4 linked regions of the Arabidopsis thaliana genome follow. The protein of the gene in region 4 interacts with the protein of the main gene of each other region in a pairwise test. Each region holds a gene or a part of one and is shown on either strand. Other genes may lie near its edges.

Region 1 (3,617 bases), on a different chromosome or scaffold from region 4:
ATATAAATTACTAAAAAATCTAGTATATTCGGATTTATAATTTTAATTTTGGGTGTTTGAGGTATTACAAATATATATATATATATAACTAATATTTTTAACTTTACATTTGTATTCGGGTACCCACGGATATTAGATTCGGTTCGGGTTCGGTTCGGGTTTTTTCGGGTAGTGAAGTGGAGAACCCATTCGGATAATTCTAAAAGTCGGGTTCGGGTTCGGTTTGGTTATTTTTCGGGTTTTTCAGTTCGGGTATTCGGTTCCGGGTATTATGCCCAGGCCTATCTTAAACATATTTGTACTTCTTTGTGGCGTACGTTCTAGACTGTAAATCAGCTTTGTTGTTGAAAGCTATCAACTCCTAAGAGTATGAGAGGCAGATAAGTGCTTTGATCGTAATGATCAAGCTGCTAACCAAAACTGATGAAGAGCACAAGCCAAAGAAGTGTCATTTTTGCCACTGATTGTATAATTCAATATTCGTTTTCTTTATCTAACTTAAACACTCTAAGAAACGAACAAATGTCAAGAGAATGCGGAAGAGAAGTGTGAGAAAAACAGATCAAATTGCTTAAAATTAAACAATTATGGACACAGCTGTTTATGGTTTTTGTGAAATTTTGTCCTACAACATTAGCTATCTTCTCTGTCCAACATGAACATGTCAAAGTTTTTCTGCTCAACTAACCCAAAACTCACAACACAGAATGATCTAGCAACCAAACAATACATTGCAAGAACCTGAGCTCTGCTCCTTCTGATGCAATCTCGACACTGTTCCTTGTTTAACAAAAATGGGATGTGGCAAGCTCTCACTCTTGTTTCTTCAGCGCAGGGTCAGTATTTGTGACTCCTGATGTCAATTTCTTAACACTGTCTTTAGCCTCTGCAACAAACGAAGCGTCTGGCTTGTGTTTATCCGCAGGTTCTTTCAGGGCCAGACAGATGTAAAACACAATAACTACATTGACTGATACCACGGCAAGAAATCCACTCAGTAGTGTCAGAGAATGTGGAGACAACGTTGTTGACCCTGTCGAGATTTAACAGAGCAACACGGTCAATTTCTACAGCATTTACTGTTAGAAACTAAAGCTGGGAAACTACAACAGACAAGCTACGTGAGCCTGAGAGAGAAAGAGAGACATTATGCCAAAAGTACAGTAACCGACTAACAGGCTATCACATGTGTAGATGATCAAACTTCATTACATGAACTACGCGTCAAAGACTAAACTGCCTTTGTTACAAGAAGTAAGGTTACAACCATAGAATAACCTCTTGTAGCATTCCAGCTCCAACTAGTTTCTATGATACCTACAAACTAAGTTCTAATCAAAGAAGTTTGCAGTTTCTAAAAAGTTACAATCAGAATTTCTCTAATCTGCCATCAGATCCCAACAACCAGCTATTCTACTAAACCAAGTTCCACTAAAACTTCAACTACAGAGTTTACACGATTAAGCAAAACTCAAAGTTAGAACCATCAATACAATTAGAGCAATGACACAGATGTCCTCATACATAAGTCAAACCTGGAAATTTTAGCCTTACCAGGAAGCAAATCATTGTTGAATCCATATAATATTGCAATAGGAAGAATCCACATAAACATTGATGCAATAAGGAACTTCTGCATAACCCCAGCCATGGTTCTGCATCCAAATTGTTAAACCACGAATCAACGAAGATGCAAGATGTGGAAAACAGAATACACGAATCTATATATAGGGTTTTCAACAGAATAACCTAAATAACACAAATTAGGCGACAAAAGTAAAACTTTACATTGAATCTGGCGAGTTAACTCGGTCTTGGACTCAATGTCTCTCGCAATTTGCGAAGTCGAGATTTTTTCTTTTCTCTACAGAGTTTCCCTTGTCAATCAAAATCACAAGGAAGCCATTATTAAACCAGAAAGATATACTAAAACCACATTTCAATCCGGCATAAGCCGGTATATTTATTCGGTTCAAGTTCGAAGAAACTACGTGCCGTTTTCTAACCAGAGCATACCGACTACACGTTGTTTTCCACTACCTGGCAGAGTAAATGAACGTGTTCTCTTGTTTGACTTTGGGAAACAAATAAAATGAGTTTCTTTCTCTTCAAGCTAATGTCGATTTGTTTGCAGACTTTTTTTTATCCTGCGTTTTAAATATTTTTCAAGAAAATAGGGAAGGCAATAATAAGCAATGGAGAAGAAGAGGGCAAGATCTTATGTCACCTTTTCAGTATTTGCCTCTTGTGACTAAGTCTTCATCTTTAGTTTGGCCACCTTATGTTGAAGAAGAGCTTCAAACAATGTCTAAGGGGCCGAGTGAGTCAATGGTTAACTCAGGGGAGGCTCGTTAGGTTGCATATCATGAATATGCGGAAATCCCTCTAGCTCCTTGAATGCATCTGATCTTGCACATTATGTGGTACAAGGGTATGTTCTTTTCTTTGACAAGGTAACAATTATTTTTTCCTTTGGTCTACTTTCTTCGTTGTTTGTGTTATCTGATTCATTTTTTCTTAAAGTGGATATTTGGCATGAAGCATAAAGTACTCCCAAACAATTGTTTTGTTTGATGCGGAAAGTTTCTAGAGAAGAGTCTGCTAACTTTTTTGGTGAGGTGATTCCTGGACTGGATTGTGTGAATTTCTTCTCCAATTACCATCCATGTTAGGAATGCACTATCATACGGCAGACCATGTCTTGATGGAGTTATGTCCGGGGAAACCAACACTCAAACTAGTTTCTATGTTTTACGCTAGGATTATTTAGTATGAAAAACTTGCATGCCACGACAATAGAGCAAGAGTCTACAATAAACAGAGATTAGTCACATAGCACAACTGTTTTGGTTGGAATCTCTAGTTACAACCGGAGATGGATGTCCAGCTCTGTGACGGAGACCAGTGAGCCTCCTCCTATTTGCCTCTTGCACAACTTCGCCATGAACATATTGAGCTACGGAAAAAGCTAGTTGAGTATTCTTCAGAGAGCTCAGCAGAGGAACATGGCTTGGCTTCTTATCGTGGCTCATAGGTACGTCACTGCAGTCTACCTAGAGGACCAATTGGGTCAAAGTTATATATTATTTCTGAATTGATTATGTGAGATATATTCATGTCACTGTCTGTTTACTACATTCTTTCGTTATATATATAATTGGTGTGTTCCGACTTCCGATCTTACGAGTTTATATGACTTTCGTTATGTCATTGACTGGTTTGTTCCGATCTTACAAGTGGGAAAGAAAACTTGCCAAAAACAAATATCATCCGTTCAAACAAAAAGGAACTATATAAGGGATGAAAATCAGCACAATCTAAAACAAACTCGTAATGTTAACACTAACACTCAGTATATTGAGCTAAAAGACCCAAAAAAAACACCTAGATAAAAAGGACAAAAATCCAAAAAAGCCATCTTCGAATATAGTTTGAGATGATCAAGAACACAAAGATTTAAGAATAACTCTCTTTATTAGTTTAAGAAATTTACTCAAAACTTAAACTCTCAACTCATAAGTTATACCACATGTTGGTATCTCCTTATATAGAGATCTCTTAAACAATCCTAATCCTAATCCTAATAGAACTAATATTTAGATAACTCATAAATATTG
Region 2 (4,032 bases), on a different chromosome or scaffold from region 4:
AAAAAATGAATGTACAATATAAAAAACGAAAAGGATAAATAATAATTAGACATATGCTTAAACCTTCCAATTTACAGGTTTTTTTAGATGTCAACTGTCATTATAAATTCCAAAGTATCTGTGTTTGGATATATTTTGAAGTCATATACAAACTATTTAAATAATAAAAAAGGCACACTTAGCCTTCGTTTCTTCATTTTCTATACAATCATTTTCATATTGAGATACAACAAATAAAAATGTGAGCACCTGACTTTGATATATGGGACAACAAACAAACATCTAGCGTCAAAACGACCAAATTACTTATGGTTTGTGAGGAAGCCTTAGAAGGCATGTATGGAGAGATAGGCAGCTAGCTCTATCAACATTCAACACATCTCGTCTTAATTTATCAATTCATCTCTCCCCTTTGGTGGGTGATTTAGGACCGCAGGTTATAACTTATCAATGTCTTGAGAATGTAAGAACGTTGGTGGCTTCGTAGTAACAAATTATACTATAATTAAAAAAAAATTAGTATACTTGATCGGTTAAAACACAAAGCATGCATATATTGTGGAGAGTTGGATTACATTCCAAACGCCAATTTTTTTTGTTTGTTTGTGTAATTGTGTTTATGTTTACATATCTAAACAAATTGTAAATGTTAAAAAAATAACGTAAAATGAAAACAATCGACGTCTTAAGGCAGAGGCTTGAAAGAGAAACCATTAACAGTGAAACCTCCATCAACACAAATGGTTTGACCTGTAATATAAGAAGCTGCAGGAAGACAAAGAAATGCCACAAGCGATGATACTTCATTTACTTCTCCAACACGTCCCATTGGTGGTCTACTCTCCACTTCTTTTCTAAACTCCTCATTACTAAGACTCTGAGAGATTTTCAATTTTACTTAATTAAAATTAAAATTGAGAAGTAACAATGTATATAGCTTAGAACTTTCATATTTGTTGCCTTACTTACTTCGGTAACTAAAGGAGTTTCTATGAACCATGGACACACAGAGTTAGTCCTTATGTTGTCACTTGCCCACTCGCACGCTAAGTTTCTTCCTAGCTGATTCATAGCTCCTAAAATACACTTACATTTCGTAAAAATCAGAACGTGATGCATCATTAATCGTTTGAATATACATACGTATAGATTTACCTTTAGATACTCCATATATGGATGCACCATTGACATGTACAACTCCAGATACGGAGGAGATGAGCACGATGCTCCCTGAACCAGAAGCTTTCAACAAAGGATGCGCGAGCTGCGAGAGATGAAAAGCTGACTCGAGATTCGTTGCCATTGTAAATGAGAAATCTTCGGCTGTATGTTGTAAGGTCGGTTTGACTATACACGTTCCCACATTGTTGACCTTAAATATAGATCCAAACCGAAAACTTAAGAAAACACAACATAATCGTTTCCTATATGGATCAAAGCTTAGATATGTACTTACAAGTATGTTGAGTTTTCCTTCGAAGATAGTGGAAACGGTTTCCATGAGCTTCTCTCGTTTATCACGAGAAGAAACGTCGCAGACAGAAGTGGTAACCTGAAACCCTTTTGCTTGCCACTTACGTAAGCTTTCTTGAAGCTGAGTTTCGTCTCTGGCACATGTGTGGATTCTTGCCCCTAACGTAGCTAGTTCCTCAACCACAGCTTCTCTATTAATTGAACACACTTACATTACCAAGCTTATCTATTTTCCAGGATAGGTCGGTTAAACATCGAAGTACAATCATAAGATCCATATAAATCTTTGTTGTTAAAAAAAAAAGATCCATTTAAATCTATAATTGAAATAAGAGCTCAGATTCAATATTGAACTAGTAAGAAAGTAGGTAATGTAGGAGAACTGGAACTGACCCGATGCCTTTTGAGCCACCGGTGACAAGAGCGGTCATGCCTACAAGACTCCATCTAGGTTTGTCTCTCAAGCTTTCCCCTGTCTTAGCCATTTCTGATTATGAACCACAGAACCCAAAGATCTTTTCTTGGAGATCTGAATGTCTGGTAGAGAAAAATCCATAATGAATGAATGATAATGACAGTGTAAGAAAGGCCTTTTCATGTATTTGTTAGGTTAATCAAACAAATGGGCCTCGATTAAGGGTTAGGCCCAACTACATGAGATCGAGACATGTTCATTGTTTGAGAGCAATGTAGGTTTCCTGAATTTTAGTTGCATAGGTGAGAGATTCATCAAGAATATAAATGTGTAAGCAAAGTTGGGTTTATTTTCTTTGGTTGCTTGGAACGCAAGAAAGATGACTTGGAAAGTGATGATGGAAGACAAACCCAATGTCTTTCGTTCCGCCGGTGACAAGAGCGGTCATGCCTTGAAGAATCCATCTGCTCTGTTCTACTTTAGCCATTGTTCTGGATGTTTCTGTTCTTGACTTCTAGTTTGATGACAAATGATAATGGGAAAATGGGTTAGAATAAATGATACGAGGTTAAGAGAATCTTCAAAGAAGTTGTGGAATGATATATATCGTAATTAATGACTTTGTGGCTGAGACAAATTAGAGATCTCAAAGTAATGATAAGACTGAATTAGTTTAGGTTAACATATTTAATTGGGAAAGTGATCATGATGAGTTAATGACGTAACTTATGATGCGTCTTCCAATTTAAAACAAAAGGGGTTTAGCTATATATTATGATGAATCTTTTTAAAGTTAATGAAAATCTAGTAAGTAATATTACATAATGGTTTCGGGCCGAGGATATTCGGGCTCTGAGCCAAAACTTTTTGGTATTCATAAAAACAAAAATAAATAACATAACAGGTTTGGATTCAATCAAACAGATCTGTTTAAATAATCAAAAAAGTTATTCATAATAGTAGTTTATTCTGGATTTATTTTTGTTTCGTCTCATGTAATTAATTTTGGTTTCATTTCTTGGGTGTGAAACAAGTTTCGTTTGATGAAACCTTTACAACTATCTCATAAGAAATGGAAGGATTACTCTTGACTGAAGCCCTAGAATTATACCAGTTTGCGCTTGATGTTAGTTTAGAAAACTGAAAATATCCATTATGTGTCCCAACCAAGCATGCCAATAACACAACCCACCGGTGCTAACCAAAGGCATGGAAGGAAGAGGTAAGTCTTGAATTAACTAAGTGTGGGCCTAACTCACACGAAAAGTTAGTTCAAAAGTGGAGAATTTCCATACACTTATATACTAGTCGACAAGTTTTTAAGTCACGATGTGTGACGAATAGTATTATACGCATGTGGAGAGAATCATAGAAAGACACTTTTTGTCGTCATCTTTGAAAGTTTTATTGAGAAATATTAGACACTGCAAACATATATAACCGGAAAGAACCAAGAGTTAAGTTTGGCCAACTAGTCTGCCGTCAAATTGGTAATATAATTCCCAAATTCATAGATTATGGATGCGGTCCATCCGGAGAGTGAACTCTTGTTCACCACGCAAGCATAAATATCTAAGAATCTCTTAGAAACAGAACATGTGGACACATCTAAATTACATTTATTACATATTGACGATGTATATAACCCGTAAGTTTAAATTATTGAAAATATGATCCAAACACATGCATATGTGTTTTATGGCATAGTCTTGAAGGAAAAACCGTTAACAGTGGCACCGCCGTCAACGCAAATGGTCTGACCAGTAATATAAGAAGCTGAAGGAAGACAAAGAAATGCCACAAGCGGTGAGACTTCATTTGCTTCTCCAACACGCCCCATTGGTGTCGTACGCACCGCTTCTTTCTTAAACTCTTCATCGAAAAACTAAGAGATTTTCACACATAAATTAAAGCCCGAAGTCATATTTACGTATTTTTTTTGTTTTTCATAGTACGAAGGAGAAATATAAACTTTGGCCTTACATCGTTACTTAAAGGAGTTGTGATATACCAAGGACAAACAGAGTTCGTCCTTATGTTGTCGCTCGCCCATTCGCAAGCTAAGTTTCTAGCCAGCTGATTCATGGCTCCTAAAACGAGTTAATATATGTGTAAGCATCATAACCCATGGGAACATATTGTGT
Region 3 (3,293 bases), about 27 Mb from region 4:
AGAAAGGTTCCTGGTACAGCTACGAAGACCAAAGGTTTGGATTCTACATTGAAAACTCATAATTCCTGAAGACTTTTGATTATGTTATAGAAGTGGGTACAGAGTATGAGATATGGTTGTGTTTTGGGTCTCTGTTTTCAGGCTCGGGCAAGGAAGAGAGAAAGCACTGCAGCACTTAAGGGAAAACCCTGCTCTTCAAGACGAAATTGAGAAGGTTTGCTTCCTCTATTCTTAATCTTAACCCATCTCTGAAGATTGCAAAAATCCATCCTTTTAACAAGAACGTAATTTTTTTTGCATCAATTCGTCCTCCTTACGTTGGCAATGGTGTTGCAGAAAGTGAGATTGTTGATGTTAGATGGAGAAGTTCATCGATCAACTCCTTTGATGAGCAGCAGCTCTTCCTCGGCTTCACATCGCGAAGAAGAAGAAGAAGACTCGCTTGACGATTTCCAATGACATAACACTTAAGCTTGAGACTTTCGGATCTATGGATGTACAACACTTGATTTTCTCTCATCATGTTCACCTCTTGTTTCAAGTTTCATCAATTAAAAAAAAACACTCATATGGTTCAGTCTTAAATCCGAAACCATTCTTGTGCATGGAAATCATAAAGGATAGGAAGATGAATATATATACAAACACTAGAAGTCTTATAAATTCAAAGTATGTCTGAGTTTTACAACATTAGAGAGAAAGAGAACAACACAGAAACATTTATAGAAACATGATTACACATGCGCTAACAACTTTAAGATTTACTGAGCCAAAGCACTTGTGTTGTACACAAGAAGAGCACCTCCGGCAAGAATTCCGGCGAGAGTTACCGCCCAAATTGCCAATCCGGTGACTCCTCCCTTGTACACGTCACCACTCGCTGACCACTCGTTCTCGTTGTAAATAGGACTGCAACCCAAACATTAAAAATCAATCATCTACTACGTAATCCATGGTTCTTTCTTATCTACAAAAAATGTTATGGAGGATGATAATTCTAATTCACCTGTATCCATCGACGTTAGCTCCATACTTGTCGACGTACTTGTAAACACCGTATCCCTGCGATTATACGTCATTGTTTAGAGAACCCACCAAATTATTATTAAAAAGGATATTAAACAACACCGTTTTCAGTTACTACAAACCTTGCCCTTTCTGCCGGAGGCGTCGACGCCGTCCCTCAAGTCCATGCTGCCGTTAATTCCTACACACACATCGATTAACGGAAATAAGCTATACATGAACGGTAACGTGTATATGTTGTAAAAGTCTGTGTAATAATAATATAAACGAACCGAAGGGCTTGTCGGTCTTGATCTTCTTGACGCCACTGGCGACAATTTTGAAGGAGGGACGAGCTCTTGTGAGCGACGGTAATCCTCTAGCCGCCGTCTTCTCCACCGTGAAACCAGCTGGTTTCAATGTCACCGAAGATAGCATCACTGAAGCAGCCATTATTTTTCTCACAAGATGATCAAACTATTCTTCTCTCGATCTCTTCTCACCCTAATGTTCATGTTGTGTGGCTTCAAATACGAGGGAGAGAAGATCCGGTAAGTGATTGTGGTTATGACACGTGGCTAATGTTGTGTGGCTTTGGTCTGGATATCTTCCTTACTAACGTTATCTTCAACTGGTTAAGCAGATCCGTCAGATCAGTTTTTTCTTCATTTCGTAATGCCACGTAGGAGATGAAAAAAACAAATGCCACGTAGGATATTCAATACTTTTTATTTTTCATTTGTGACCCCTACAAGTTATTTTATTTTATTTTTGAGAAAACCCCTACAAGTTTTAGTTTACTTAAAACAACCCCACTAGTTTGTCGTAAACTCGCAATGTCTTCCACGTTGTGAATTTTGCCAAGCGTTGAAATGAACCGCAAATTCGTACACCGATCAGCGTTTAGATACTGCGTCTATAATTGCTCGCTCGCTGCGTCTGTAGTGTTGACACTAGTAGATGATATTATTTTTCTTTTCTTGATTAATCAATGTCTAATGCTACTCAAATTATGGCTTCTCCATAACTGGAAACATCAACAAACTTGACCATTGTCTAATGCAAGTTCTAATCATATTTACTAGTAACAAATAAATCTGTATATAATACATGATTGTATCGTACACAAGGATTTGGTCAATGTTTTCTATGCTTATTCTATTATTCTTCTACTCAAGTCATTAAGATATGATATTAATACAAATTAAAGTCGTTTAAATTAATAACTAGTGGTTGATCAGTCGATATATTCGTTACACGTCTCAGTCGTGATGAGAAACAAAACTAATATAATTAAATTGAGAGTGAGTAAGGTTACAAGCTATCGATTTCATAGATTCAGTCTAAATATTACCCACCACAATTTTAATAAATCAAATTAAATCCCACGTCTGCTTCTAATGTTAGTAGTAGACCCCAAATAACAAAACAAATTATTCTTTTTTCATGAGTAAGGACTAAGGACTATATAAGCTAGCTGTTATAACTTATGAGTCAAATGACCTTTCTGAAAGAAAAAAAACACATATATTGAAATCTTCTAATGCAAATATATGTACATTTTGCCTATTATTAAGTCTGTTTAATTCAGTCTGTAATATATATTTTGACTATATACAATGTGGATAAGAGAATAATTTTGATACTTAAAATAAATTACGCATCTTTGCTGTATTACTTCACATAATCCCAAAACCACAAGCACGATGATTTGTATACAGATAACAGAACATGCTTAACTATATAATGTCAAATGAAAACAAACAATCTTTTCCAAAACAACTTTAGAATCAGAAAAAAAAACACATGCTCAAAAGTCACAACTAAATCGATATATCATATAATGCCAAATGAAGAATTGAACAGTAATAATTGTATAAACTTGTCGAACAGCAATTTTTTAAAGAGTCGGTTCGGTTAAATACTTAAATCCATTGCTTAGAATTCAACATTTACAGAACTGAACCGGTCCGGTTTTGACTTTATGGTATAGTAGGACCAGCCGCAGGTGATTTCACACTCTTGGAAGTAAAGTGGGACCCAGAAAAAATTAGACTACTCCAGTAAGTAAGTAAGGTCATTTAACAACGACTAATAACGCTAATTAATTAGCCAAAAACAATGCTAATTAATAATGATTAACGACTTAATTATACTGTTGCCTTCTTCTCAATGGATTATATCTTGTTGTCTTCTTCTCTCTCTCTATATACGCGAAACTTTGTCGTCTCTCTCTCCTCGAAGAACTTTTTGAAAGTTTGTCTTTCTCTTTTAGGGTTTCTCAAGCT
Region 4 (5,904 bases):
GAAAAAGAATTAGAATATAATTAAAATTTATGTTTAATTTTGCAATTTTGATTTGTATTTTATTAGTTATTTTCTAAAGTTATATTTTTTTTAGGATTGTTGTCACTGAAAATTTTAATATGTTTAACCAGCCTAGGGTTATTTTTTCTCTGTTGGCATATGTAGTTTTACCATTTTTTATAAAATTTTATGATAACAAAAAGAAAAAAAAAAGAAGAAGAAGGTAACTTGACCATTTGCTGTATATTTAATTATCTTTTGTCCCCAAAAAAATTTATATAACCATTTGGTATATATAGCAAACTCATATTTAGCATGAAAAACCAATAATTGTATTCACTCTATTTTGAGTATATCAGAGATTATTGCCAAAGACTGATTCTCATAATTACAAAATCTCGTTTTTGGATATTTGACTTTGTCATATATAGACTATAGTTGATGTAAGCAATTGCGAATCAAAAATTTTAACCGGAAATGGAAACAAATTCAGAATAGAAGAAATTAATCAAGAACATATACAATATATTTAACTTATATTTCGTTCATAAAAATTCATTTATAGAAAAAAATCAAATTTTTTTATTTATAATTATTGTATCATAAAAGATAATATTTCTCTGTGAATTGAAAGATTAATATTCCATTAAAACAAAACTAATTAAAATCTTTATTTATTATTTTTTTAGCCTCTGGTAACTACAATTTGCTGGATCAGCCATCAACAAGGGGCCTATTACAATTTTGAATCATGTCATTTGGTTCAATGGGCTTTAGTGCACCCATCAGATTTGAAAACATGGGTTTTTGATTCAGCCCAAAGTTAACTTGTTAGCCCAATGTTAAAATTAGCCCCAGCTGATGAAATGACAAAACTACCCTTATCGCCTCCGTCATCTAAATCAGCCCTACCACTGGCGAGTTTCTGAAAATCGGCAAATCCCCGGCGACTTGGCAAACACTTTTCCGGCGTGGCTTCGCCTCCGCGAGCATTGTGATGACGTCTCTAATCGATGGTCTATCCTTCGGTAGCTTCGCGGTGCAGAGAAGAGCGATTCGCAGTGCCAGGAGCATCTCTTCGATCACGTGTTTACAATCTCCGGCGATGCTCGCGTCGATCACTTCTTCCAAGCTCTCGTTCTTCTTCACCTTCCTCCGAATCCACTCAACCACGTCAATCGAATCCTCAAACGAAGGATCTATCGGCATTTTCCCAGTCACCAATTCCAGAAGCACAACGCCTAGACTGTATATATCACTCTTTTCGTCAATCTTCAGTGTGTATCCGTACTCCGGCGCTATATACCCGTAAGATCCAGCCACCATAGAAACGGTCTCGTTCTTATGAAGCATCATCTTCGCCAATCCGAAATCTGCTATCCTCGCTTCAAGGTTTGAATCGAGGAGGATGTTATTAGACTTGATGTCTCTGTGAATGATCGGAGGATAGCAATCGTTGTGCAAGTAATTGAGACCTTGAACGACTCCGACGGCGACATTGTATCGTGAGAGCCAATCTCTTAGTAAGAATTTCTCATCTTTGGAATGCAAAGCAGTTCCTAGGTTTCCATTGGGCATGTACTCGTATACCATCATCACTTCTCTCTCGTTGTGAACGTAACCTAGAATCTTCACAATGTTTCTATGTCGTAGACCACCAAGTAGGTTCACTTCTCTGAGTATGTCGTCCTCTTCATCTTCTTCTTGATGATGATCTTCGATATCATTTTGTGGTGATGGTGATCTCCACAGTTTTTTCACAGCTACAGTGAGTAATGGCCGTCTCATGACTTCTGCTTTGTAAACAATCCCTATGGCTCCCATTCCAATGATGTTTGATTCTTTGATATGTGATAAGATGTCTCCTGCAGTGAAGCACAGTCTCTGGAAAGCCACGAGTCTCCATGGCCATTCCTCCCGAGGTTTCTTGCAGAATATATACTCTCTAGCAAAGTTGCTGTAAAGATCCCATCTTGTGTATATCCATCTCCCTGCCAAGAACATCATCCCCATAGCCACGATGACTGAAGTTCCAACAATGAACCCGAAGACTGCGTGATTCACGTGAATTCTCCCTGGATTTCGGCCTTTTGCTGACAAAGCTAGGCTCTTAGAGCAAGGTGGTAGAACTCCACCGCATAAGCCATTGTTTCCCACGAGGTCTTTTGGGTCTATGGCTGCAAACAGCATGTTTGAAGGAATGGGTCCGTCGAGTTTGTTGAATGACACGTTTAACATCTCCAGTGTTGGAGAAGCTCCCAAGTCCGCTGGTATATTCCCCGTCAAAGAGTTGTTTGAGAGATCAAGAACAGCTAACATGTGCATCCCGGCTAATGCCTTAGGGATTTCTCCAACCAATTGGTTGCTCTTGAGATTTAGACTCACAAGTTTTTCAAAAGAAGCGATCCTTTCTGGGATTCCACCTGAGAAATGGTTGAAGGAAAGATCGAGGACAGACAAAGATGGACGATCTTGAATCTGGTTAGGAATTTTTCCGGCAAAGTTGTTATGTGAGGCAATGAAGGTTTGAAGATTAGGACTTGAGAAAATGGAGGAAGATAGGGATGAGAGATGATTAAATGATATGTCTATAAATGAGAGTGATGTGGATAAGGCTATATCATCTGGAATTTTACCGGTGAGGTTGTTTTTTGCGAGCTCTAGATGCTGAAGCATTGGTAAGTCACCTGAACCAGCTGGTATAGATCCGGAAATGTGATTTTTCTGGATTCGAACACGAACTAAAGTCGGACATGAGAAGATTTCCTCCGGAATCTGACCTGAGAATGAGTTGTTGAAGAGAATGAGCTTTGTGAGGTTTCTGGAATAGCACAATCCTGATGGTATATCTCCTGAAAGCTTGTTTGATGAGACGTCTAACCACTTCAATGGGGAATTTTTGCCGAGATGCACCGGTAATGAACCCATGAGAGAGTTCTGCCACAGCTCAAGAACCTCAAGGTTTGGTAATTCAGCAATTTTTGACGGAATGATTCCCGTGAGTTGATTCCTCATCAAATTTAGAAGCTGCAGATTCTTCAACTCACCTACTTCCATAGGTATTTCTCCTGTGATCTGGTTATCAGACAGATCAAGAAACACAAGAGAAGTCATACCACCAAGTTCTCGAGGAAGTTTCCCTGTGAGACGGTTCTGGTAGAGATAAACTGTTGTAAGTTGTTTCAGCTGCCCCAAAGAAGATGGAATCTGGCCTGTAAGGTTTCCAACAGCCAAATCAAGGTACTGAAGGCGCGTCAATTTCCCAAACTCTTCTGGAATCTCACCCATGAAGCCATTGTAACCAAGAATAATGGTCTCCAAGGAAGAGAGCTCACCAATCACCTTCGGTACCTTTCCACCAAAGTTGTTACCCGAAAGACCGAGAAACTTCAGATTCTTGAGATTCTTGAAAGAAGAAGGCACTGAGCCCTCGAAGTAACCTCCTCGAAAGTCCAAAACCTCAAGTGTAGTTGCGTTGCCAAGATCTTCAGGTAGAAACCCCGAAAAATTGTTGCTTGAGGCATTGACGTGTGTAAGACCAGTTGCCATTCCTAGACCATAAGGGAAGGTTCCAAAGAAGCTGTTCACACTCACATCAATGACCTTCAAAGACGTGAGATTAGAAAGAGATTTAGGAAGAGAAGACTCAAATGCGTTATTGCTGAGATCAAGGGCTTGCAGAGAAGGGAAGCTCTGAATCTGATCTGACACGTTTCCGCTGAGATTCATGTTGGAGAGAAGAAGCTTAGCCACATAGCCATTTGCATCACAGTGAACTCCTGTCCAATGACAATGAACCAACTCAGAAAATGTTGTGGCATTCTCAGGTCTCTTCCAATCTTGGAGATTATTTGAAGGATCAAAAAGGTCTGACTTGAAGGCCAACAAGATCTCTTGTTCGGAGTTTTGAAATGTTTCAGAAGAAACAAAAGGGAAAAGAGCGAAACCAATGTAATAGAAGAGGAAGAAAAGTCGAGGGATCGCCATTTTTCTCCTCTATTTCTTCACTTTTTGGCTAGTTTTATGGCATTTTTGTGCAACTGAGATTGAAGGTCCCCAAGCGAAGTTGATAATAAGAGAGTGGAAACCAAAAGCTGAAAAACAATGATTAGTCAGAATCTAATTTTATTTAATCTCTCTCAATTATTTTATCATGATTGTGTTTCTTTTTCGTTCGGTGGAATAATATGCGAGTTCCATTGGCGTCATAACAATTTGTATGATAGCAAGTAGTTCGCTTTGTTTCTGCATCTGTGACATTACATAGTAGAAAAAGTGATACAATTTCCTTGATGTTTTCATCTATCTTCGTGTGTTAAATTGTGAATTGTGTTTGAGAAAACGAAATTAGATTATAAGTTTGTTTCATATGCATACCCAAATGCTAAATTGTGAATAAAGTCGAACCGAAAATTTTGAGGAGCACTAATTCCATAACCATATCCTGAAGGATTATCTTGCTGATCTGTGCAATATCAAACAACTAAGCGGTGAGAAAGAAGATTAAAATAATGATAATGGGATATATAATATGAAGAAATCGTGGGTTTCTGAACAGCTAGCTAAATCATAAAACACTGAGTGACTTGTAAAGCTTTGTCCTCATTAGAGATTTGTGGGACAGTGAAACATGGGCAGAGAATGTGTCTCACTTACTGTCCAATATAACTATTTTCTATTCAAAGATGATGGCTAATTAGGCAAGATCAAAGTCTTTTAAGAAAACTACCATTTTAGTTCTACCTCACCAATGATTTGACACAAACAATGTTTTTTTACAAATGATTTAACTTCACTTAAATATGAGTAACTAAAGAACGCAAAGTTTTTATTGGTTATAAGGTTAGTTATATCATCCTTGGCGGTCGAGCTAGGTTGAGTTTCCGCATGTCTTCATTAGTCGGGAGAATGTTTTGTTTCGAATGGCGTCATTAAAAAAACACACATGAAAGATGATGGTCGTGAGAGAATCTTCCCACGTTGTTCCAACATAATTAAAATTAGGAAATAAGAAAGTTCATAACTCCATTGCCAAGTTGCAAGTAGCTAGGAACGTCCCATGACACCTACGTAGAGACTAGAGAGATATACATACATCAAATATATCTACTTACACATGCATTGAAAAAAAAAAATACAAATACATTAATTAAATTATTGCATTCATGTAGACATATATGTTTTTCTAGATCTTATAAACACAGATTTTAATGTTTTTCAAAATACGATTATCAGAATTTTTTTTTCTCTGTATATTAGTTTGAGTTGAGAGATTTAAGGCCATACATATGATATATGCATAAAGTTTGCATATTAATGCATTTTTAGACAAGGAGCTTCAATAAACTATGCATATGACATCAAGACGTAACTGAATATGTAGCCCTAAGTCCGTAACCGAATTTGTTTATATTCGTGTGGTTGCAACTTGTGAGTAAATATGCATGCTGATTGCGTGAAGAACAAAGTAGCATTAAGTGCTCTCACGATATCAAAATAAAGTTTAGAACCATCGAAAAGGGCCATCTATCATTTTTATTTTGTTCTTAAAATCTAAAACATATATATTCGATCGGATATACCCATTAAATGAATGAATCATGTTCACATTAGAAGAATCACCATAATTGATCCCAAAAACTATATGAAACATATTCTCGTGAGTGTATAGACTTTTTGGAGATCGATATCTTAATTAATACATCTAGCACAACTCTATATATTCTTGCGGATTAACATCTAAATTTTACGTACCTCGAGCATATATATCCATTATCGACTATCGAGTATCGACTATCGGTTCGTCCAACACATTTAATTGTTGTAGGTTTGCAAGGTAGATATGGACAGTACCTCTAATTAAAGTTCTTTGTCCTTTCAAATTTATCCTCTATTATCATATTC

Evidence for each region.
Region 1: the proteins of AT1G08590 (region 4) and AT2G31710 interact in a two-hybrid assay, tested with the Arabidopsis thaliana proteins (one study listed by BioGRID).
Region 2: the proteins of AT1G08590 (region 4) and AT2G29360 interact in a two-hybrid assay, tested with the Arabidopsis thaliana proteins (one study listed by BioGRID).
Region 3: the proteins of AT1G08590 (region 4) and PSBR interact in a two-hybrid assay, tested with the Arabidopsis thaliana proteins (one study listed by BioGRID).

Annotation. Positions count from the first base shown.
Region 1 is NC_003071.7:13,481,245-13,484,861, forward strand, and holds AT2G31710 (Vacuolar ATPase assembly integral membrane protein VMA21-like domain-containing protein), read right to left. Parts: upstream 1,950-3,617; 5' UTR 1,789-1,949; intron 1,656-1,788; 5' UTR 1,652-1,655; coding exon 1,555-1,651; intron 1,034-1,554; coding exon 813-1,033; 3' UTR 514-812; downstream 1-513. Other genes in the region: AT2G31700 (uncharacterized protein), read left to right, coding at 137-324.
Region 2 is NC_003071.7:12,601,775-12,605,806, reverse strand, and holds AT2G29360 (NAD(P)-binding Rossmann-fold superfamily protein), read right to left. Parts: upstream 2,041-4,032; 5' UTR 1,959-2,040; coding exon 1,867-1,958; intron 1,665-1,866; coding exon 1,457-1,664; intron 1,373-1,456; coding exon 1,156-1,372; intron 1,077-1,155; coding exon 970-1,076; intron 878-969; coding exon 686-877; 3' UTR 508-685; downstream 1-507. Other genes in the region: SAG13 (senescence-associated gene 13), read right to left, coding at 3,585-3,773, 3,872-3,978. UniProt on the Arabidopsis thaliana protein: Oxidoreductase active on cyclic ketones, but not on tropinone or nortropinone.
Region 3 is NC_003070.9:29,734,250-29,737,542, reverse strand, and holds PSBR (photosystem II subunit R), read right to left. Parts: upstream 1,592-3,293; 5' UTR 1,459-1,591; coding exon 1,299-1,458; intron 1,208-1,298; coding exon 1,149-1,207; intron 1,063-1,148; coding exon 1,007-1,062; intron 910-1,006; coding exon 762-909; 3' UTR 534-761; downstream 1-533. Other genes in the region: RECA1 (recA DNA recombination family protein), read left to right, coding at 1-34, 142-214, 337-459.
Region 4 is NC_003070.9:2,716,942-2,722,845, reverse strand, and holds AT1G08590 (Leucine-rich receptor-like protein kinase family protein), read right to left. Parts: upstream 4,309-5,904; 5' UTR 3,988-4,308; coding exon 898-3,987; 3' UTR 566-897; downstream 1-565.